5 linked regions of the Mus musculus genome follow. The main gene of each other region encodes a partner of the protein of the gene in region 5 in a complex. Links are inferred from orthologs where the notes say so. Each region holds a gene or a part of one and is shown on either strand. Other genes may lie near its edges.

What was found.
Region 1: the proteins of Orc2 (region 5) and Orc3 are in contact, whole or in part, in a cryo-EM structure (PDB 7JPO), measured with the Homo sapiens proteins. The link is inferred for Mus musculus from reciprocal best matches to the Homo sapiens genes ORC2 and ORC3. Residues at the interface, in NP_006181.1 of Homo sapiens: Leu239, Glu242, Tyr243, Ala246, His247, Asp268, Arg273, Leu276, Val279, Ser280, Phe283, Glu286, Leu287, Leu290, Lys296, Leu297, His299, Lys300, Met302, Leu303, Gln304, His306, Leu307, Phe309, Tyr314, Gly315, Leu316, Arg320, Glu324, Arg327; in NP_036513.2 of Homo sapiens: Thr3, Ser4, Ser5, Met6, Ser7, Lys8, Gly9, Cys10, Phe11, Val12, Phe13, Lys14, Pro15, Arg20, Ile22, Ile26, Tyr29, Phe30, Lys32, Tyr47, Val111, Thr112, Lys139, Asp318, Lys326, Gln329, Leu330, Leu333, Tyr337, Glu589.
Region 2: the proteins of Orc2 (region 5) and Lrwd1 are in contact, whole or in part, in a crystal structure (PDB 8SIU), measured with the Rattus norvegicus proteins. The link is inferred for Mus musculus from reciprocal best matches to the Homo sapiens genes ORC2 and LRWD1. Residues at the interface, in NP_001012003.1 of Rattus norvegicus: Val11, Pro12, Ser13, Val14, Gln15, Phe16, Val17, Gly18, Asp19, Val22, Leu23, Ser24, His25, Ile26, Leu27, Asp28; in XP_038945348.1 of Rattus norvegicus: Pro262, Leu263, His264, Phe265, Leu266, Gln267, Cys268, Ser270, Asn273, Ser274, Pro275, Leu320, Val321, Leu322, His323, Lys324, Tyr325, Lys326, Leu367, Val369, Gly372, Phe373, Cys374, Pro596, Pro598, Val599, Ala600, Val605, Ile630.
Region 3: the proteins of Orc2 (region 5) and Orc5 are in contact, whole or in part, in a cryo-EM structure (PDB 7JPO), measured with the Homo sapiens proteins. The link is inferred for Mus musculus from reciprocal best matches to the Homo sapiens genes ORC2 and ORC5. Residues at the interface, in NP_006181.1 of Homo sapiens: Val240, Glu241, Tyr243, Phe244, Glu245, Ser248, Asp396, Gln398, Arg401, Gly402, Glu403, His426, Asn428, Ala429, Pro430, Leu431, Met432, Trp433, Asp434, His435, Gln438, Trp445; in NP_002544.1 of Homo sapiens: Asp324, Lys325, Phe328, Leu329, Leu359, Asp360, Arg361, Ala364, Tyr367, Ser368, Ala378, Asn379, Phe381, Ser382, Gln383, Thr385, Ser386, Thr389, Asp400, Gln401, Leu402, Asp403, Tyr407.
Region 4: the proteins of Orc2 (region 5) and Orc4 are in contact, whole or in part, in a cryo-EM structure (PDB 7JPP), measured with the Homo sapiens proteins. The link is inferred for Mus musculus from reciprocal best matches to the Homo sapiens genes ORC2 and ORC4. Residues at the interface, in NP_006181.1 of Homo sapiens: Asp501, Asp504, Tyr508, Ser512, Gln518, Glu522, Val554; in NP_001177808.1 of Homo sapiens: Lys168, Asn169, Arg195, Glu200, Leu201, Lys204, Arg205.

Annotation. Positions count from the first base shown.
Region 1 is NC_000070.6:34,604,589-34,608,710, forward strand, and holds part of Orc3 (origin recognition complex subunit 3), read right to left. Parts: intron 2,641-4,122; coding exon 2,543-2,640; intron 1,094-2,542; coding exon 949-1,093; intron 1-948. UniProt on the Homo sapiens protein: Component of the origin recognition complex (ORC) that binds origins of replication. DNA-binding is ATP-dependent. The specific DNA sequences that define origins of replication have not been identified yet.
Region 2 is NC_000071.6:136,122,411-136,126,541, forward strand, and holds the end of Lrwd1 (leucine-rich repeat and WD repeat-containing protein 1), read right to left. Parts: intron 1,549-4,131; coding exon 1,457-1,548; intron 1,346-1,456; coding exon 1,190-1,345; intron 1,103-1,189; coding exon 993-1,102; intron 906-992; coding exon 765-905; 3' UTR 656-764; downstream 1-655. Other genes in the region: Polr2j (DNA-directed RNA polymerase II subunit RPB11), read left to right, coding at 332-367. UniProt on the Homo sapiens protein: Required for G1/S transition. Recruits and stabilizes the origin recognition complex (ORC) onto chromatin during G1 to establish pre-replication complex (preRC) and to heterochromatic sites in post-replicated cells.
Region 3 is NC_000071.6:22,547,211-22,551,922, forward strand, and holds the start of Orc5 (origin recognition complex subunit 5), read right to left. Parts: upstream 3,129-4,712; 5' UTR 3,054-3,128; coding exon 2,982-3,053; intron 807-2,981; coding exon 714-806; intron 1-713. UniProt on the Homo sapiens protein: Component of the origin recognition complex (ORC) that binds origins of replication. DNA-binding is ATP-dependent. The specific DNA sequences that define origins of replication have not been identified yet.
Region 4 is NC_000068.7:48,932,090-48,936,211, reverse strand, and holds part of Orc4 (origin recognition complex subunit 4), read left to right. Parts: intron 1-2,589; coding exon 2,590-2,662; intron 2,663-3,046; coding exon 3,047-3,132; intron 3,133-3,614; coding exon of another isoform or gene 3,615-3,653; exon of another isoform or gene 3,654-4,122. UniProt on the Homo sapiens protein: Component of the origin recognition complex (ORC) that binds origins of replication. DNA-binding is ATP-dependent. The specific DNA sequences that define origins of replication have not been identified yet.
Region 5 is NC_000067.6:58,474,017-58,478,138, forward strand, and holds part of Orc2 (origin recognition complex subunit 2), read right to left. Parts: intron 2,528-4,122; coding exon 2,418-2,527; intron 926-2,417; coding exon 793-925; intron 1-792. UniProt on the Homo sapiens protein: Component of the origin recognition complex (ORC) that binds origins of replication. DNA-binding is ATP-dependent. The specific DNA sequences that define origins of replication have not been identified yet.

The sequences.
Region 1 (4,122 bases), on a different chromosome or scaffold from region 5:
AGAAGGGAGCTGGGAAATGGGGTTTCTGGGAAGGGGGTAACCAGGAAAGGGGATAACATTTGAAATGTAAATAAAGAAAATACCCATTAAAAGGGGGGGGGGGGAATAAAGCTATAGAGAAACGTTTAATATTCATACACACACCCCCCAGAAGAAAAGTTAGTTTTCTTCAGTGGCGTCTCATTGGGCATGTTAACCACCCTTGAGGGTAGGCCCCACAGCCAGCAGTAGATGGCCTCCAAAAAATGAACTCAGTAGGACTTCTGAGACTTTTTGTCTCATATTGATGTGTTTAGGCATTTTTTTGGTCTTAATGGTCTTTTGAGTATATATTTTGATCTTGTACTTTTGTGTCTACATGTTGTGCTTTTTCTTTGTCTTATTTATTCTGGTTTTCTTGGTAACCTGAAAAAACTACTGTTAATAAATCAGATATTTTGTATTATCCTGAAATATGCTTGCTCTAAATTAGATATTATTGATGAATATTTTAAAAAATTATAACATAATCTGGAAGTAATTTATATACAATTTATACAAATTCTTCTCTATGCAATTAATGTTAAAAGAATCTGAATTAAGATTTCAAGTGCAAGAAATAAGTATTATAAATTTCATTGAAGATATGATTGTTTTAAGAAAGTAGAAATAATTAAATCCACTAACACACTACTGTTTTATTATTGAATTCAAATGTCATTACCCTAAAAACACACAGGAAGAAGACTAAAAAAACAATTGTAGTTTTCCTCAGTTCTTCTACTAGTAATGTAGCTAGGTCAATTTCTTTTTATCTACAGATACCTGAATATATAATAAACATTTACAAAGTATGTAAGTCAAATCACAGTTGTTTTAATTTGTAGGAGTTTTATCATAACAAGATATTTTCCACTAGTATCAATAGCAAAACCAGTTTAAAAAATATGCACAGATATGCATACATACCAAGAATAAGAGCAGCTGTTGGAATTTCTCTGAATTTCATTTGAGAGCCCCAGTCTCTTGAATTTTTCTGGAATTCAGGATGGGACTTCTGCAGAAAGTCAACTAGGTTATCAAACAGATTTTCATTTAATTCCTCCTGTAATTGCTGCAAAGAAAACAAAATTTCATGAGTTATTAGTAGTTGTATTTCTTTTCTTTCCTGGTGTAGTTTTTAATTTTTCTTTTCCCTTTGAATGTTCAGTAATTTTAGTTGATGAGATAAAGCAGCAATAGAGCAACCGGGTAAAAAACCCCACAGATGCCAGGCAGTGGTGGCGCATGCCTTTAATCCCAGCACTTGGGAGGCAGAGACAGGCGGATTTCTGAGTTCGAGGCCAGCTTGGTCTACAAAGTGAGTTCCAGGACAGCCAGGGCTACACAGAGAAACCCTGTCTCAAAAAACTCAAAAACTCAAAAACTCAAAAAAAAAAAAAAAAATCCCCACAGATATCAACACACAATGGCCAGCACAAACTGTATTGAAAGGGAAGAGAAGAGGGGGAAACCTATAGACTGTATTAACACACAACAAGCAGAAACAATGTATTGGAAGGGGACAGAATGGGACATGCACACATATCTTGACACACAGTGAGCAAGCACACAGTGTATTGAGAGGGAATAAAAGGGCAAAATAGCTGAAAGTGACAATCAGAAAAAAACTGTGGGTAAAGTTAATGGGACAGGTTGAAGTTTGGGGATTAAGGCAGGGAGGGATAAGGACACCAAGCTACAGGACTGTGAGAGTGAAGGATACCTAGCTACCAAAGATGGCCTCATTATGCAGACAGTCTCCCAGATAACCACCATTAGAATGCATCTGTAACCTAGGTTAAGAAGCCTAGACAAGAGCTTGTGTACAGTGTTTCAGCAGAGGGCTGGAGCTCAGTTCCCTCCTTGTTAACTCCAACCACAGTGAATTCAATGCCCTCTTCTGTGGAGTGTAAAGTAGTAAAGACAGATGGGAAGCACTAAGAGACTGGACAGCGGGTGCACTGGAAAAATGCCTCGTGGGTAAGCGTGCACGCTGTGCAAGCAGAAAGACCTAAGTTGGAATTCCTAGCACCCACATAAAAATTGTGTGCAACTCTCATTCAAAAACAAGACACTATAGCATCGCGTCGCTTAAGCCGAACGAGCGGCTGGCACTGGAGCTGCTGCCATTACTATACTGACGATATTCACAGCCAATATGCAGTAAGCTCTAGGCCAACCTGAGCTTAAGACTATGTCTCAAGAAGCAAACCAAAACACAGCAAAAATTGGATGCTAGCACAAATTTCGAAATGGCTTCATTTCAGACTTGTGTAACCTCTTAACTGAATTTAAGAGTTCACCACAGTGATTTTTTTTTTTTCTTAGAAATGATCATGTTGCAGCGACGAAGGCCATACATAACTTTAGAACATGACACATGTTTTACTTGTGGTATATAGGCTGTGTTTGATTGTACTTTCTCATTTTCTATATATACTCTTATACATCATTAGATATGAGAAGTAAATACAAGACTCATACTATTTTATTACAGAAATGTAAAAAGGAAATTATTCACCTCTGTTTCAGATTTCATCCGTTGCCATAGCAAGCTATATGTTTCAAATCGAAGTTTACTGTCCTCAGAGTCAAGTTCCTCATTATTAAAATAATCCTCTAAAAAAAAAAAAACCCAGAAAGTCAAGTTTTTTTAACACAATAAAATTAAGAGACTGTACATAGAGACAAACAGCATGGGAGAGGGGATTAAAACATTTTCTTTTTTTTTTTCTTTTTTTGGGGTTTTTTTTTTTGTTTGTTTGTTTGTTTTGGTTTTTTCGAGACAAGGTTTCACTGTATCGCCCTGGCTGTCCAGGAACTCACTCTGTAAACCAGGCTGGCCTCGAACTCAGAAATCCGCCTGCCTCTGCTCAAAACATTTTCTATGCCTCTATGCATCCAAAAACTATGTATCTACATATACATGTCTCCTTTACATTTGGAGAAAAACAATATAGTTTATCATTTGTATTTAATTTTAAATCTCAATTTTTACCATAATATAAAGGACATTTAAAATTTTAGAGTTCTATTTCTTACTAAGAATCTCTAAGCATTGACTTGCTGACTTTCAGTTCAAGGTAAACATCAATGTTTTCATCCATACCATCTTTAACTTTATCAAATAATTTTTCATACTTTTTTGTCCTAATAGTTTACTCCAGCCTTTGATTTAATAAGTATTACTTTCTTTTTTGTCTTTTCTTCTCTCTTCTCCTCTCTTCCCCTCCCCAACCCTTCCCCTCCTGCCCCCCTCTAGCTTTTCAAGACAGGGTTTCTCTGTATAGGTAATCCTGACTATCCTGCAACTCACTATGTAGAGGAGGCTGGCCTCAAACTTAGAGATCTGTCTACCTCTGCCTCCCAAATATTGGGATTAAAGGTATGAGCCACCACCATGGCCTTTTTTTCCATTTAATTTTTTTATGTATGAGTGCTCTGTCTGCATGAACACCTGCATGCCAGAAGAGGACATCAGATCCCTTTATAGGTGGACATGAGCCACCATGTGGATGCTGGTAAGTGAACTCAGGACCGTCAGAAGAGAAGCCAGTGCTCTTAACTGCTACACCATCTCACCAGACCCTTTCTTTTTTAGAATTCAATCCTATTAAAAGGTGCATGCACTGCCAAGGAAGGCAGAAGAGAGTGTTGAATCCCCTTGACTGGACCTAACAACAGATAGTTGTGAGCTGCTTGTGGGGCCTGGGAATCAACCCCAGTTCTCTACAAAAGCAGCCAATGCTCCTAACAGTTGAGAATTATCTCTGCCCTAATATGTATTACTTTATATAGTTTTAAAACTGTTCTCTCCTGTCAGCCTTTCTGTCAAAATATCCTTATTGCAATAATTCTGAAAAAAATGTGTATCAAGGAATATATTATTTTGAAAATTTAACGAATATATTTCCAGTAGACATAAAAACAAAAGTCCCAGAAAACAACTGTTACTCTTATCCTCTAACAGCAAATGTGTTCTATTTCACAGTTTACTAAAGTGACTGCATAACGTGCAATGGGTTGGGGCCTCCAATTTGGACACAGCAGAAATGTATTTATATGTTGACTACCCTACCTCCTGTTCATCTCAGATGTTCT
Region 2 (4,131 bases), on a different chromosome or scaffold from region 5:
TGGTTCGTAAGGCCCCAGAGACTCCAGGCTCTTGTCTAGCCGTTCTTCCCAGGGTAGCACAGTTCTTGGTCTGGGGTTTCCGTGTAAGGTAAGCCTCCTTTGAGGTTTCACCCCACTGGGCAGGCATGTCCCAGTTGGCTCCCTAGCAAGCAGATGCCACAGGGCAGGGTGGGGGAAGCCTGCTGAGGTACCTGGAGCCTTTGGAGACTGGTCCACCCCCTGCCGTGTCCTCTGGAGTGTTGCATTTGCAAGGACTGCAGCCCCAGTGTCTTGGTGCTGCACCAATATGCTGGAGTCATTCCAGTGTAGTCACTGCCTTTGTCCCCCTCAGGTGGCCATCAAGGACAAGCAAGAAGGAATTGAGTAGCAGCTGAAAGAAGCGTTGCTTAGTGGCTGGAAGGCTGGCACATACTCCTCAGGGCCCTTCAGTTTACCACATGGCGACAGCCACTCTCAGCTCTCTAGCTGGGCACGGGGCTCTGCCCCATTCTGTACATAGACTGTTGTTTTCCTAATAAAAGCAGAGCAGAAAATGGGGCTGTGCAGTGTGTGGACTGTCACTCAGACCTGAACCACAGGCTGCTGGGCCTGCCTGAGTTAACCAAGGTAGAAACCCCAGTGGAGCCTGTGTGACTACACTCATTTCCCACTGGCCTCCACTCTACAATAGAGAATTTAATAAAAAATACTCACTGGTACAAAGCCCTCTCCCATTAGCCCAAGCTAACAAGCCATGTCCTGACACACTGCCTTGTGCAGGCAGACTAGCATCTCCTCCAGATGGACACGATGTTGGAGTCTGTCAGGGCAGTGAGGTAGGTGAAGGCTGCATTGGCCACGACTGTGTTTATCATGGTCTTGGTCACTGGTTGGCCCAATGCTGTTGGCTGAGGCCACTTCAGGATCTGAGGAGGGAAGAAGAAGGCGCTAGGCTCCTGCCTACCCAACAGTAGCCCTAAGGGATACCAGGATCTGTAGGGTGCCAACAGTACCTGTGTTGGGGGCTGCAGAGTTGTTGCCTGTGGAGGCTCTTTCAGGAGGTGTTCAACATCATAGATCCACACACTGCCTTCCTCGTCCCCACACAGCACGAGGTTTTTGCCTGCCAGGGCAAGTGGGAGCCTAAGATGGGGTTGGGGAGGGGAGGGGCAGGGGCAGAAAGGGAGTGTAACAGAGTGGGCAGGCTCACCGGGACAGGTGCTGAGTGAAAAGTAGGCCAGGTTGGTGGGTGACCACTGCAGCCGGACCAGGATGACTACGGGCAACACAGACTGTCTGCCCCGGCCTGCCCATGTCTGGCTCCAGCTCCACAGGTAGATGGTGCCCTGTCCACTCCCTTTGGAGGCTGCAGGGAGAGGAGAGAGAGAGTCCAGGCTGGCTGCGTGCCCAAGCCAGCTGTCAATACAGCCTCCTCGTTCCCCAGCCTGCCCAGGGTGTCCCAGCTGGGCTCACTTACCCACCACATCTTCATTCACAAATGCCAGCCCATCGACTCTTTGTCCTGACACCTTGGAGTCCTCAGAGAAGATGAAGTTCACCTCACACACCCTGTAGAAGATTCTAGCCTTACCCATGCATGGTCCTGCTTGGGGCTTGGGTTTTGGCCTAGAGAGCTTTAGCTGTGTCTTAAAGGGAAGTCACAGGGATGGATGGGATCATAGGGTCCCCAGGGGCTGGACATCCAGGGTTGTAGGCCAGAAGATGCTTCCAGTGCCTCTTTCCCCACGACCAAGGACAGACAACAGCTGTGTGAAGGGAGCTTGGTCATTCAAGTCGACTCGAGCGTTCCCTGCTGTGGATCCCTCTGTAAGCCCTCAAGGCACAAAAGTGCCCCCTTCCCTAACAGCTGTTTCCTAACTACTACAAGGGCCATTCCAGCCCCTCAAGGCAGGGAAGTGCCCAGGCCCCACTGTGCAAGAAAAAAAAAATCCTACCAATCTCTGACCACCCTGGAAACACCCCACCCCCCAACCTATGGTCTACCCAGTTCTCTGCTGCTTCTGGCCTCAGCAGCGGCTGCCACTCTCCTGGGTTTTCCCTCCCAGCTAATCTCTTGTGTGAGGTTTGCTGTGGGGTGTGACTCTGTGGAATTCCTTGGCTCCTGAATGCCATGATACCTCTTGGAGTAGAGCTCTCTCGCTCCGACTGGGGAAACTGTCCTGAACCGGAGCACAGCTGTCACATCTGCACTGTGGGAAATCTCCGGGCAACTGGAGCCAGCTTGTGTAGGAGAAGCCTTTCCCTTCAGAGCTGCACCATGGCCATGTTTGGTGCCATGACTCAATGCGCTCTTCTGGTGCCTGTGCTCCGCCTTGTGGTCTGAGCCGCACTGGGACCCTCATCTCCAGTCCACCAGCAGGACTCACCTTCCGGCTCACTGATAGTTCAGCATCCCTCCCAGACACCTGTGGCAATTAGCTAAGTTTCCCCTTTGGTCACTGAAAATATTTCCCTGCATCTGAGGAAGTGTCCAGTAACCATTCTGTGCTACTCTTGGAAGTGGAGGTTCCCCCAGCCACGGCCGCACTGGCCCTCTTCACCGGATCCCTCCTACAGTGCACCAATCTGGACCCCAAGACCGGATGGAAAAGAGCTTATGAGCTGCAACTTCTCTCAGTCTCCACGGTATGAGGGTCAGGGTTAAGGTGTACCATCGGAGAGGTCTGGAGAGAGAATCTCTTCTAAGCAACACCTGTCAGTAACTGTGGCCAGTGGGCTGAGGCGAGAAATAGGTAGGGGACACTGGCAGGAGGAGAGAGGATTCTGGGAAATAGAGGCATGGGAGAGTTGCCCAGGAACACTGAGAAGACAGTTGTAAACCAGCCACATAGAGGAACTCAGCAGAGAATAAAAGGGAGATTGGCTGGAGACCAATCTGAGGAGATGGGTGTAAACCAGCCGTAGCTCAAAGGAGAGAATGGAGGAGACTCACCCTGCACTTCATTACGCATGAAGCTGTGGAGAGGAAACTAACCATGGGAAAGACAGAGTAATGAGTTATGAGCTAGTCAGGAATGACCCAAAGCTTGTAGCCTAGGCATTTATTAAATAAATAGTCTCAGAATTGTCCTTCCAGGAGCAGGGATGGAGAAAAGGAAAAAGTGGTTTTATTTTTCTACAGAGATGAAAAAGTCTGAAAACAAGACTATGTGATGATGGCTCAGACCTCTCAGCTAGCCAAGGCAAAAGCCCAGGCTCTCTGAACCCCAGAGCCGAAGAACCTCCATGCCCCTGGACCCAGGCCTGTCTGAGCCCTCACAATGTCCAAAGTGCCATCAAGAAGGGCACTAGGGTTTTTACTGCCCCCTGTCCCTCATGGCACAGGGACATCAAGTCCAGACCGCCCTTCAGCTGACCTCCTTGGTCTGGCTACGTCTGACTGAGGGGCCCTGAGCTCCCCTGACCTGACCACCACCGTCTCTGACAGGGAGCCTTAGGTGGTCATCATAGAGAGTGGTCAATCTCCTTCTGGACATCAGGGTCTGACCAAGTCTGGAGACTCGCCTCTCCTCATTCCTGTTGTCGGAGTAAGGAGACAGCCTTACCAGGCCCACCAAACCCCACTACGTTCTTTGTACTTACACCTCTCCCCTTTATCCATTCCTTCCTAGTGGCACCACCCTGTCCCACCCCCTTTCTGGGAAGGGGTCTCCTTGCCATTTCTTTTGCTTCCCCCATCTGCTTGACCTCAGATTTGCCAGCCATTCCCCTCCTCCTTCTCCTCCTCCTCTCCAACCCCCACGCTGACACACCTTTTCCCTTACCGGCCTCTCAGGGAGATCCCTAAGCATGGAGCACCCAAAACTCCTCTACAGCCAAACATCACCCCTTCTTATTCAACTACAAAACCCACCAAATATATAACCCCAGCTCAATACCCATCTCCTCTCCAAAGCTTCAGGGGACATAGGCCTCTTATCTCTGACCTATCCAGAAGCAAATTTTCTGTGTCTCTCTTCTTCCCTTTAATGCCCCAATGCGAACCAATGGAAGTTATCGCTTAGTTCAGGATCTCTGACTTACCAACTCAGCAGTACCTCCCTTCCACCTTGAAGTACTCAATCTCTACAGTCTCCCCTCTACCATCCCCTCAGGGATCTCAAACTTCTCTGTCCTAGACCTCAAGGATGC
Region 3 (4,712 bases), on a different chromosome or scaffold from region 5:
CAACAATATTTGCTTTCACATTCATTTCCTTATGTAGAACACTCATAATGTCTGTTAAAAATAAGTATCTTGCTTATTTTTGTGCTATTTTTGACTCAAATAATAGTATTTTTTCTAAGCATGTATTTGGGCATCTATAACAGAAACAAATCTCTTCTTACATTAAGTGATTGCAAAAAGTAATAAAGTATTAAAAATATAATACATTCCTTAAACATAAAACTCCTTACTGGATTTTCATGCTTTTATTCAACAATTATCTCCAGGATACTTCATAGACAAGTTTTCAAATGCAAGTTTTCAGAGCAACTCAGCAGGCCATCTTAAATATGCATCCTCGGAGCTAAGGCAAGACCAGAGTTAGCAACCTGAAGCTGTGGCCTGCACATCTGTTTCTGTGTACACACTTGCTGCAGATCACAGCCATACCTTCTCAAATAGATATGGCTTACTGCTGGCTTAGGACATAAGTAGGTATATGATAATATTCATAAATAAATAGCATCTAAAATACTTCTATAACTGTTTATAATAAGAACTGCAATTCATTTTTCATGCGTTAACATTTAGTACCTAACAATCCCAAAGCTGACTCTACTTGCCCTGGTTTGCAGATAGAGAAGGCACTGGGTGGTGAAATAAATTGTCTCGATTCATTCCGTCTCTAGTGACGTAAGAATAAAGGTCCACATCAGGGTTAGGGTTATTCTTACCTCTAAAGTTTTCAACAATGTTTGTGTTACATAGGTCTTCCCACTGGCAGTGTGTCCATAAATAAAGATGGACGGAAAGCTGAAATGATGTCTCTAAGAAAGAAAAGACAGGATAACACTAAATCCAAGTTATTTCAGTGGTATATACATATTCTTTTTTTTATTATTATTATTTGGTTTTTTGAGACAGGGTTTCTCTGTGTAGCCCTGTAGTTCCTGGCTGTCCTGGAACTCACTTTGTAGACCAGGCTGGCCTCGAACTCAGATATCCGCCTGCCTCTGCCTCCCGAGTGCTGGGATTAAAGGCGTGTGCCTAATACTTTAAGTTGAACTTAAATTCAACTCAACGTGTGTCCCCTTATGGAATTATCCTATAAAATTATAAGCGACTGAGCAGCACAGATACCAGTGTCAAACAGGGTAGACTCTGATGGCTTCAAACATCTACTGGGGAGACATAAATTTTTAAAATAATTTCAGGTATCATTTCATAAGCAAAAAGGAAGCTCATGACTTTTTGTTTTTCTTTCTTTCCAAAGCTAGATGAAATCTGGAATCCCATCACACTTGTATACATCTACTCTTTGGAGCCTACTACAGTATTCCCTGCCCATACAAGCTTCCATTGCCGTGATTAATAGCATGCTCAGAGGCGTCCTGTGGAGGAAAGGGTTTACTTCAGCTTGACGGTTATAGTTCATCATGAAGGAAAGTTGGGGCAGGAATTCCAGGCAAGAACCTAGAAGCAGAAACTGAAGCAGAGGCCACGGAGGAAGGTGTCTTAATGACTTACTCAGCTTGCTTTCTTCCCTGGAGTTGTACCATTCCCAGTGGGCTGGGCCCTCCCACATCAATCATTAATCAAGAAAATGTCCTACAGACTTGCCTACTGACTATCTGTTGGAGGCATATTTGTTTTCAGTTATGTTCTCTCTTCCCACGAGGGCAAAACTAACCAGCATGCTCCCCTTTTAAACAACGTTCACATTGTCACCTAGAGTTGAAATGAACTCTGACTCCACTGTCACTTAACTTTTCCCCAACATGTGCCACAAGACTGAATCTGGCACAGTGCCACACACAGAGCCAGTGCTCAGAAAATACACACTTGCTAAACATATAAATTAGTCTTCTACGAGCATAGCTAGCTCTTTTTTCTTCTGTAGCTATTTGCTATAGTGGTTCTTTGTATTTCCCACATGCAAACTTCCTTGAAGAAAAATATTGTTTTTGTTAGATGTAGTATTAAATAAGAGCAAAGGTGAAGCCTTTTCTGGGACCCACTGCTAAATCAGCCCTACCTATCTTATTTTGCTAATAAAGTATTCCTCAAAAAAAGAGGAGTACTTTTGGTTAGAATAATCTGGGTTTATCAAGTCCAATGAAGGAATGTACAGAGCATAAACAATTATACATTTCAATAATATAGGTAACTATAACTGAAAGCATTATAACTAGGAACTACAGATGCAGCTGACCTCTAGAATTGCTAACATGACGCCTTTTAGATGGAGGGAAGTACTTTTCCATGACTATTTCATCTGCCACCACAGACGCACTGGATCCGACACTCTGCTGGATGAAAGTACATTTCTAAAGGAAGACTAAATGGCTATTTGTATTTGCTCATCTCCCAGATAAGATCCAAGTGCAATCAATTCTAATTAATGAGCACAATGCAAGGCAACTGAGAGAAATGAATGTTACTTCAGCCTGTGTTCACTTCAGAGGCTAACCTCTCCCCTCTAAATCATCTCATCTGGTCGGCAGGGAGAGAAACCCAAGCGAGACTTCTCCTGGCTTTTATAATTCTAGAAAAGCTGAAGGATTTTAAAGGCTAAACCACAGCGTTACCCTAATTGGCCTTGAAGCCAATCACCTCTCTGTATTTGACCCAATCTATACCTCACTACAACGGGCGAACTGGCGTTTAGTAAACACTCTGCAAACAGACTTCCTACCCAAACCCTGTTCTGCAGCAACTTGCAGTAGCTATTTGGGGCTCACATAATCTCCAAAGTGTGGTCCAAGTAAAAGGAGCACTTCCTAGCCGACGTCCTGTAGAGCAGGCCAGCTCTTCCTCTGCAGTCTCCTTTAAAATAGACTGAGAAGTTTCTTTGGGTAAGTGTGGGGCAGTCATACCGCACCTCCATCTTAACATAAGGGGGATAGCCTACCGCCTCGCAATCCACACAGTACTCCCCCCAAACGGAACGGATCCAGGACGCATTCGCCTCTGGCATTTGGGAAGCAGTCTGACTACAATACCTCTCCAAACAGGGACTGCAAAGTGGACACTTGGGCCTCTCGACAGAGGACCATGCTCTCCAAGTGAGACATTTTGGCGGGCACCACCTGATACTGCAGAGCAGTTGGCCTCCGGTCAGCCCTGCGCCACTCAGGCGTGGTTCACGTAGAACAACCGCAAGCTTTCCGGCCGGAAGCCTGGGCTGGGGGCGGAGCCAGCGCGGTCGAGTGACGTCAGGGAGCCGCGCGACAACGTGGGCCGCTCTAGTCTCCAGGCGGCGGTGCTCAGTGGTCGGTTACTGGTAAGTGGTTATCGCTTCCCACTCTGGCCTGAGCTTTCCAGCCTGAAACCCTTACACAAGCTGAAGGGCGACCTGGGGGCACCTCACCGCCCACCTTCTGTGTCTTCAGTTCCCTCCAGAAAGCCGCACACATAAAAGTACCGACAGAAACGAGTATTCTTTAAAAAAAAATTGGTTTTCCTCTGGCAAGAAAGTGGACAATGGGAACTCTGTGGAACTAACTAAATAAAATCATTTGTTTGTCTTTGCAAGCTTGAAACTAGATGTGGAAGTATTCGAGTGTTAGTGAGGGTAATCAGTAAAATTAACGTTGTCCTTGCACATTTATAGGACACCTGGAAGAAGAAAAGCCTTGAAATGAAAGAATGTATAGGAATAAGAAAATTCGTGTCCAAAGAGAGGGCTTTGGGTCCTGAAAAAAAAATTTGGTCTGGAAACATTGACTCAACTTTTTCTGAATTTTGAGATGTTGGGAGAATCTTTGAACCGTTTATTTATAAACTTCCTTATATAGAACATAAGGACTATAGTAGAGTATTTTTAAGAATAAAAGATAATGTACGCAGTGTCTGCTACACATAGATTTCATAAACAGTGCAAAAAGACAAGGAAAACACGGCACCCATATTAGAAAGAGGCCCATTATGTATTATTGAACAATACAACTGCCTGTGGAGGAAATCTAATTACCACACACACACACACACACTTTGGTTCCAAAGTGGTTGTACAAGTTTGAATTACTACCTGCAATGAAGAAGTATTCCCCTTACTCCACAGCCTCTACCATAAGTAGTTAGTGACAATCCTTTCCCAATCTGTAGGCTGCTGTTTGGTCCTGTTGATAGAGCCCTTTGCCTTACAGAAGCTTTTCAGTTTCATGAGGTCCCATTTATCAATATTTGATCTTAGAGCCTGAGCCACTGGTGTTCTATTCAGGACATTTTCCCTATGCCAGCGTGTTCATGGCTCTTCCCCACTTTCTCTTCTATTAGACTCAATGTATCCGGTTTTATGTTGAGATCCTTGATCCACTTGGACTTGAGGTTTGTGCAAGATGATAAATATGGATCTATTTTCATTCTTCTACATACAGACTGCCAGTTAGACCAGCACCATTTATTGAAGGTGCTTGCTTTCTTTCTTTCTTTCTTTCTTTCTTTCTTTCTTTCTTTCTTTCTTTCTTTCTTTCTTTTTCACTGTATAATTTTGGCTTCTTTTTCAAAGATCAAGTGTTCATAGGTATGTGAGTTTGTTTCTGGGTCTTTGATTCATTTACTTTGATCTGTGAGTCTGTTTTTGTATCAGTATCACACAGGTGTTTTGTATCACTGTTGCTCTTTATTACAGCCTGAGGTCAGGGACTGTGACTCTTCTGGAAGTTCTTTCATTGCTCAGGATTGTTTTGGCTCTCCTGTGGTTTTTGTTTGTTTGTTTGTTTGTTTGTTTC
Region 4 (4,122 bases), on a different chromosome or scaffold from region 5:
TGTGCTAAGTTGTATAAATTGTATTTTTCTAGTATTCTGTAATAGCAAATTAATATTTTGTTCAGGCATATTATTATACCTTAAAAATAGTTAAGATAGTAAATTAAAACTGTTTCTATTTTTTAAAATAGTACATGTTGGTTCTATATTATGTAAGATGAAGAATTTTTATTTATACTACCATTTCCATTTAAAGAACATAACTTGGTAATTGACAACTTTATTACTGTTTCAAGAATTTATACATTTCTTATAAGATGTCTTACTCTAGCCTGCTTTGGTCCTCCTGCTTACTTGGTATAATTTCCAATTCTTTGCCATTTGTTGTTGTTTGGTTTTTATAATTTTCTTTTGCTTTAATTTAACAACTTTTTTCAACAGAAGAACTATGTAAAATACATTTGTGGTTTTGATTGTTTTCCTTAATGTATCTACTGCCTGGGGTTATAGGCTTCCTCACAGGTGTTTTTGTTTTTGTTTTTGTTTTTCCTCTCCTTAGAATTGCAAGGATTTTGCATGAATTTTGTTTTGTGGAGAAAATCCTGGAGTGAGATTTTCTTTAGTTTTTCTTTTTTCTTTTCTTTTTGCTGTATTTAGATTATATAAGTGGCTGAGCCTCACAGAAGTCTCAGATCCCTGTGGCTTAGTAGGACATTTTATCTTTCTTTGTACCGTCTATCATAACAGTGTACAAATCAAAGGAAGCAAGCTTGTGTAGATGAGCTCAGTGGAAGAGTGCTCAGACTCTCTTGATACACTTAGGAGATAAAAAGTTTTACTAATGTCTATCCTTTAAAGGATTTGAAATGTTTTCTAATGTGTGATTCATGAATTGAAACAAAATGGCTCCCAAGTAAAATATAAATGTCAGTGAAATGTAAGAGATAGGAGGCAGCACACAATGCAATACTTTTTAAAAATACGTTGAAAGTAGTGTTGTTAGGGAGAAAGTTTGTATGAGTCACAGATGTTCTCTTGTGATAGAGTCGATCTGATTGAAAGATAGGAAAGTACTGTCTTATCTCTTATGGTTGCTTTTATTGTTTCTTCTCAGCTGAACTACTACAGAAGTCAGACAGTTGTACCCAGAGAGGTTTTTTTGTTTTTTTTTGTTTGTTTGTTTGTTTGTTTGTTTTTTTAAGAGAATCTAGATCAAGAGTACCTGTGTATAATTCCATGTGCTTAAAATCCACACATACCAAAGTTAATTTCTATGTTTACTATCCTTTTGTAAAATCTGTCTACTCTCTTTACTTATATGTACACCTAACCTCTGTTTTCCTGGACCACTTTTTTTTTTTAAATTTTATATCTTTTTTCCCCACATTTTTTATTAGATATTTTCTTCATTTACATTTCAAATGCTATCCCAAAAGTCCCCTATACCCTCCCCAAGCCCTACTCCCCTATCCACTCACTCCTACTTCTTGGCCCTGGTGCTCCCCTGTCCTGGGGCATATAAAGTTTGCAAGACCAAGGGGCCTCTTTTCTCAATGATGGCCGACTAGGCCATCTTCTGCTACATATGCAGCTAGAGACACTCACTCTGGGGGTACTGGTTAGTTCGTATTGTTGTTCCACCTATAGGGTTGCAGACCCCTTCAGCTCCTTGGGTACTTTCTCTAGCTCCTCCATTGGGGGCCCTGTGTTCTATCCATTAGATGACTGTGAGCATCCACTTCTGTATTTGCCAGGCACTGGCAAAGCCTCACAGGAGACAGCTATATCAGGGTCCCTTCAGCAAAATCTTGCTGGCATATGCAATAGTGTCTCCTGGACCATTTTTGATGTGAATAAAAGTGTTTTACATTGCCCTTAATCTTCTTCATTTACAAATTTTATATTACAATAATACATTCTCAGTATAAGTACATTTTCATAGTAATTATTATTGGTAATCTTACAATTTCATCTAACCTTTTACTAACTTTTGTATTGTTTTTTGTTTTGTTTTGTTTTTTGTTTTGTTTTGATTATTTGTTTGTGAAACAATTTCATATAGTTCAGGTTGCAGGTCATCCTGACTCTTCAATTTCTCACTCTTTGCCTTCACCTCCTGAGTGCTGGGATTACAGGCTAATTGCTGCTGCGTCCAGCTAAATTTCATCACTATGCTTTTCTATTCTTGTTCATGAGTAAATAGTTTATATTTTTCTTTTTAACTATTTGCTATTTCTTATTTCATGACAATATGCAGACTATCAACAGTGTTGCATAAAATTGACATTGGAGGACAAACCTTTTACAACTATTTAGGTTTATTTTTTTCTATAGCTTTTAACTGCTTTCAGTGGCACCTGGTAGAGAAATGTTACTGAATAGTAAAATGTACTGAGTCATAGAGATTACAAAAGAAGGTTTTATGATTGCTTCCAATGTTTATTAATAGTTTATATAAATTATTAAGATATTAAAGTTTCAGTTAGGCTTTGCCATTAGACTTAGACATAATGAATTGTATATATCTAAACCTATTAGCTATAAAGTAATTTATTTGTTTATATTTATTCTCAACATTTATGATTTTAAGAAAGAATAGCTTCATTTTATCTTTTCCAAATTAAACATTTTACACATTTTTATATTTAGTTATTAAATCATGCTTTGAAAGAACTCATGGAAATAGAAGTGAGTGAAAATGTGATACAAGTTCACTTAAATGGTGAGTATATCATTATTTTTCCATTAAGAAACAATGTGAACTAGTTTTGCATATGATGATAATAAATTCATTTGTGTTTTAAGTCTGTCTATATATTAAAAACTGTATGCCTGTTTAATGGCTTTTAGATATTAAAGGAAAGTATATATGGTAAAAGTGTATATTTTCAAATAGTTAAATAGTTTTTTTTTCTTAAATAGTGCCATCTCCAAGGAATGCTTCGATTACCATATTTTTAGAAGAAGTAATATGAAATAGCAATCTGATTATATTCTTTCTAATTAAATTTTTAAAAGCATTAGAAAATACATTTACTTGGAAAATAATCTGTGTCAAATACTTGCTTCTTTTTATTTAGACACCATTAATTGTACTCTGTTTCAGGACTCCTGCAGACAAATGAAAAAATTGCTCTGAAAGAGATCACAAGACAATTAAATCTAGACAATGTAGTTGAAGATAAAGTTTTTGTAAGTATCATTTCAGATATTTTATTTCTGGAAGGCTAGGAGAGTCATATTAGAAAGTTATGTAATATATATGTTAGAAGTTGATGTAAGATTTTTGTTAGGATAAGACTTAATGTATGGCATATTTAGTCATCAAGCTTTTTTTTATTTTGGTGGTTGTTTTTATGTATTTTTATGACTGTTTAAGTAAAAGTCTTTTTAAATCAAGACTTATGAAGTAGCGTGAGCATATTAGATACTATTTTGAATTTAAAAATGGCATCGTGGATTGACTTGTTGTTAAGAGTTGATTCCCTGTTGGTGATACTAGGCTGTCGGATCAATGAATCTCTCTCAATATCAGATTCTTTGACTAAGTATACTTACTTTGTGTATGTAACAAGATTATTCTAAAGAAGGGGCGTAAATGTCCTTTTGATTAAATACTCTGTTGGATGCTAATGTGCTGTATGAATATCTGTTACTTCATTTCCGTCACTTAGGGTATGCTGGTGTGCCTTGAAGTCTCAAAGTACCGATAGTGCTTCAGACTGTAGTGTTGGAAATGTCTCATTCAGCTGTTTACCTCACATAAATGACCTAAGGAAGACATGAGTAATCCATGTCCGAGACTCCATATGCAGATGAGATACACATTTCCCAAGTCCATTTTCTGTTTACTGCTGTGCCTGCAGTACTGTCTTTCTTATCTTACCACTCTTTGCTCTGTGCTGCAGTGATCTGAATACAGCTATGCACACACGCTTCTAGTATCTAGGAATTGCATTCTTTAAGTTAGCAACAAAAAGTTGAGCCAACTATATTTTCTCCTTTCCTGCTCTACAAACTGTTGAGAAATAAAGTCAGAGTGTTCCTTTATTAATAACTGTGTTCAACAAGAATTCCTATTAAAACTGTAGCAAATGATCTGTGGGGGGGTTAATTCTAATGTTCCTAGATGGATATATTAGTACTGTATTTGTGTAAATTCATGAAAGAGGCAGTTGTATT
Region 5 (4,122 bases):
TGGTGTTTCATCACAGCCATAGCAACCCTAACTAAGACAGTGATTATTTGTGCATGGGCTTGTTTGGGTGCACATTTGTATGCAGGTAAATGTGGAGGCCACAGGACAAACTTGGGTGCTGTTCTTCAGGTGCTGTGTGTGCTTTTTTTTATCAATTATTCCTAAAAAGTTGGTTTTTTTTTCATTTTAATATGAGTGTTTTGCCAGCATGTATGTATGTGCAACACGTGCGTGCAGTGCCCGAGGAGGCCAGAAGGAGTCAGATGCTTTGGACTGAACTGGAGTTACAGTTGTAAACTGCCATGAGGGGTCTAGAAACAGAACCTGGATCTGTGCAAGAGCAGCAAGCGTTCCTAACGGCTAAGCCACTCTCTAGCCTCGTCGTTTATTCTGAGACAGGGTCTCTCACTGGCAGGGAACTCATCAAGTAGGCTGGGCTGGATGGTCAGTGAGCCCTGAGCTCAGCCCCTCCCTCCCCCTATTTCTCTAGCACTGGGATTGCAAGCACAGACCACATCTAGTTCTTTAGAAAAGGAAAGAGTTCATGAGACTGAACTGAGATCTTTACAGAACAAGCCATTTCCCCTGCCCCACGTCAGTGACTTGGTAGGAAATTCAAACATGAAAACTTAAAGATCAATTGCTCTGAATACAAACACATGATCTAAGTGGTCTGAAGCCTAAAGCAAAATCCTTTATATACAGTGTTCAGAAGCAGAAATTGTACTATAACAGTTAAGGGGCCAGGACGTGGCAGAGGACATAATATTACTCCTTTAACAGTAAACTTACTGATTTCACACTGACGCCAGGAAAGTAGCCGTTGATGACAACATGAATGGAATCTTGAAGCATGGTGGTTCGAAACTTTTCTAGTAAATCTCTCTTGGACCCCAAGCCATAAAGCACAATGTTGAACCCAAGGCTGTAAGGAAGGACAATGTCTGTAAAATTACAGCATGAGACTCCTGACTGCCAGCTTTATCCCCAGTTTCTTTCCAGCTCACAAGGACTGCAGAAAAGAAAACCCCAAAGAACAAAGGGTAATGTACAAAGAGCAGCCCCACCGTGTACACCTCTAATCCCAGCACTGGGCGGCAGAGGCAGGGCTGCTGTAATCTCAGAGCCAGCATGGTTTACAAAGCAAGCTTCAGGCTAGACTCTGCCTCACAAATACATGAGTAAATCAAAAGTGCAGGGCGGGGGCCGGGCGTGGTGTTGCGCGCCGTTAATCCCAGCACTCGGGAGGCAGAGGCAGGCAGATTTTTGAGTTTGAGGCCAGCCTGGTCTACAAAATGAGATCCAGGACAGCCAGGGCTATACAGAGAAACCCTGTCTCGAAAAACCAAAAAAAAAAAAAAGTGCAGGGCGGACTGGGGCAGCTAGACAGCTAAGCTGCTGTGTTCACCCTTCACAGTCCCAGTGTTTGTCAGCTTTTTCTGCAGCCTGACGTAAGAGGAACCACGGCCGATCCTGCAATGTTTCACATGGGCTACAGGAGAGTTGAAATGAACAAAAGAATGAGCAACAGTGAACCGCACTACCATGTTAACTGTACTTTCCTACACTAACGCACACCTGAAAGTGCCAGCATTAGCTGGAAGGTTTGACCACAGGGAAGCAGCAGATGCTTCTGGAAAAGCTACAGTACAGGGAGGCAAGTAAGGAGGAGGAACAGAACTGCCTGAGTTCTCGCCTTCGCTCCCCCAATCATCATTTTATAACTACAGCCATACTATACTATGATGAAATCAACTCTTTGCTCCCCAGGTTGCTTTTGGTCCTAGTGTTTGATCACAGCATCAGAAAAACAAATACCACAACAGCGTGAGTGGGAGTTAGGGGAGGAACTTGGCATACACGCCTGCCATTAGGTGTTACCCTTGGACCCTATTCCTACAAATTGTCCTCTGACCCCTACATGCACTGCAGCGCGCACACACTCACATTCACACATACAATACAAATGGAAAAACTAAGCAACGATGAAAAGGGAAAGTGCTCCTAGAGCAGTGCTCTCGCCCACTGAGAGGGCCAACCTGTGATCAATACAGCAGCAGACTATGGTTTCTGTTTGGTTAAGGGGTTTTTTTTTGAGACAGGGTTTCTCCATGGAGACCAGGCTGGCCTCAAACTCCCAGAGATCCACCTTCCTCTGCCTCCTGAGTGCTGGGATTAAAGGCGTACGTCATAACCATCCTGGCATTGTTTTTGGGTTCTGAGACAGGGACTCTCTAGGTAGTCCTGGCTGTCCTGAACTCACTATGAAGACCAGGCTGGCCTAGAATTCAGAGATTACCTGCTTCTGTTTCCCTAGAGCTGGGATTAAAGGCACATGCCATCACACCTGGCAAATCATGTTTTAACACAGACATATACTTATTCTTCATTGTGTAGGGCTTACAATGATAACTTACTGTAACTGAAGCATCCATTTATGAAACAGTTTCTCATGCTGTTGATTCAATCGTTCAATTTCAGCAGAAAAGGAAGGCACAAATTTTCTCAGTAAGTTATGCAGAGTTTTCTTTGAAAAACAAGAGAGACAAAGTTCTTAGTGGAAATAAAGACTTAAATCAGGTATGATCAGAAGTGTACCAATTGAATGTTAAAAAAAATATGTCACACATGGCTTAAATACTTGTTTAATTAAAAGTTATTTTTAAGGATTTAGGGTTTTTTATGTGTATGAGTGTTCTGTGTATAACTGGTGCCTGTGGAGGTCAGAAGAGCACATCAGATCCCCTAAACCTGCAGTTATAAAAGGTTGTAAGCGCCGTGTCTACAACTCCTCTTAAAGTTCTCCTTTTTTTAAAAAAAGATTTATTTATTTATTATATGTAAGTACACTGTGGCTATCTTCAGATGCTCCAGAAGAGGGCATCAGATCCCATTACAGGTGGTTGTGAGCCACCATGTGGTTGCTGACATTTGAACTCAGGACCTTCGAAAGAGCAGTCAGTGCTCTTAACCTCTGAGCCATCTCTCCAGCCCCCAAAGTTCTCCTTATTTCAAGTATATAAAAACAATACAAAGCCAGGCGTGGTGACGCACGCCTTTAATCCCAGCACTTGGGTGGCAGAGGCAGGCAGATTTCTGAGTTCGAGGCCAGCCTGGTCTACAGAGTGAGTTCCAGGGCAGCCAGGGCTATGTAGAGAAACCCTGTCTCGAAACCAAAAAAACAAACAAACAAACAAAAAAAAATACAAAACTTTAACAATACAAAACTTTGCTAAGTTTGCCTAGAACCATTTAAATGATTACAACACACTCCAAATATAAAATTTTAATCTAAAAATATAGGTACTGGCTGGTGGTGGTGGTGCACGCCTTTAATCTCAGCACTTGGGAGGCAGAGGCAGGCAGATTTCTGAGTTCTAGGCCAGCTTGGTCTACAGAGTGAGTTCCAGGATAGCCAGGGCTACACAGAGAAACCCTGTCTTGAAAAACCAACAAAAAAAAAAATTAAAAAATATATAAATAAAAAATAAAAATAAGATATATATAAATATATATATGTATTTTACATATACATACATACTATAAAATGACCAAATATGCTTCTCAGTGTTCACACCAAATTCAGACAGACAAATACAAATCAAAGAAAAAAACAAAACAGTGATACCTCTCCAAGCCTATGAGTTTGGGGCTGTAGCTCACTGCCAGAGTGCTTTCTAACAAGTATGAGCCCTGAACTGAACTCTGCATAATAGTAACAACATTAAAACAACAATCAGAGAAAACCAAACCTGTAGCTTTGAAAGACTGTAAAAAGTAAGGTAATGATAAAATATTAATTTTCAGAAAACATTAAAGTTTCTTTATAATTTGCCATCAATAATAAACTTGTATTTGTTCCTTTTCAAAAGCTATTTTTAACAAATGCCGTGTCTCTGGTGTTGTGTTGTGGTGCTGTGGTATGGATATACCAAGCCCCCATGTGAAGGCTCGGTCCCTGAAACTGAATGAGAATTCTACCACTACAACTGGAAGTTAATTAAGTCCTCCCCCTCTTAGGTTGCTGTCCTGGGAATTAGTCACAGCAATACAAACTGCACAGTATGGTACAATCTGTAAAGATGACAGTAATATAAAATACTGATGACAGTGAGCCCAAAA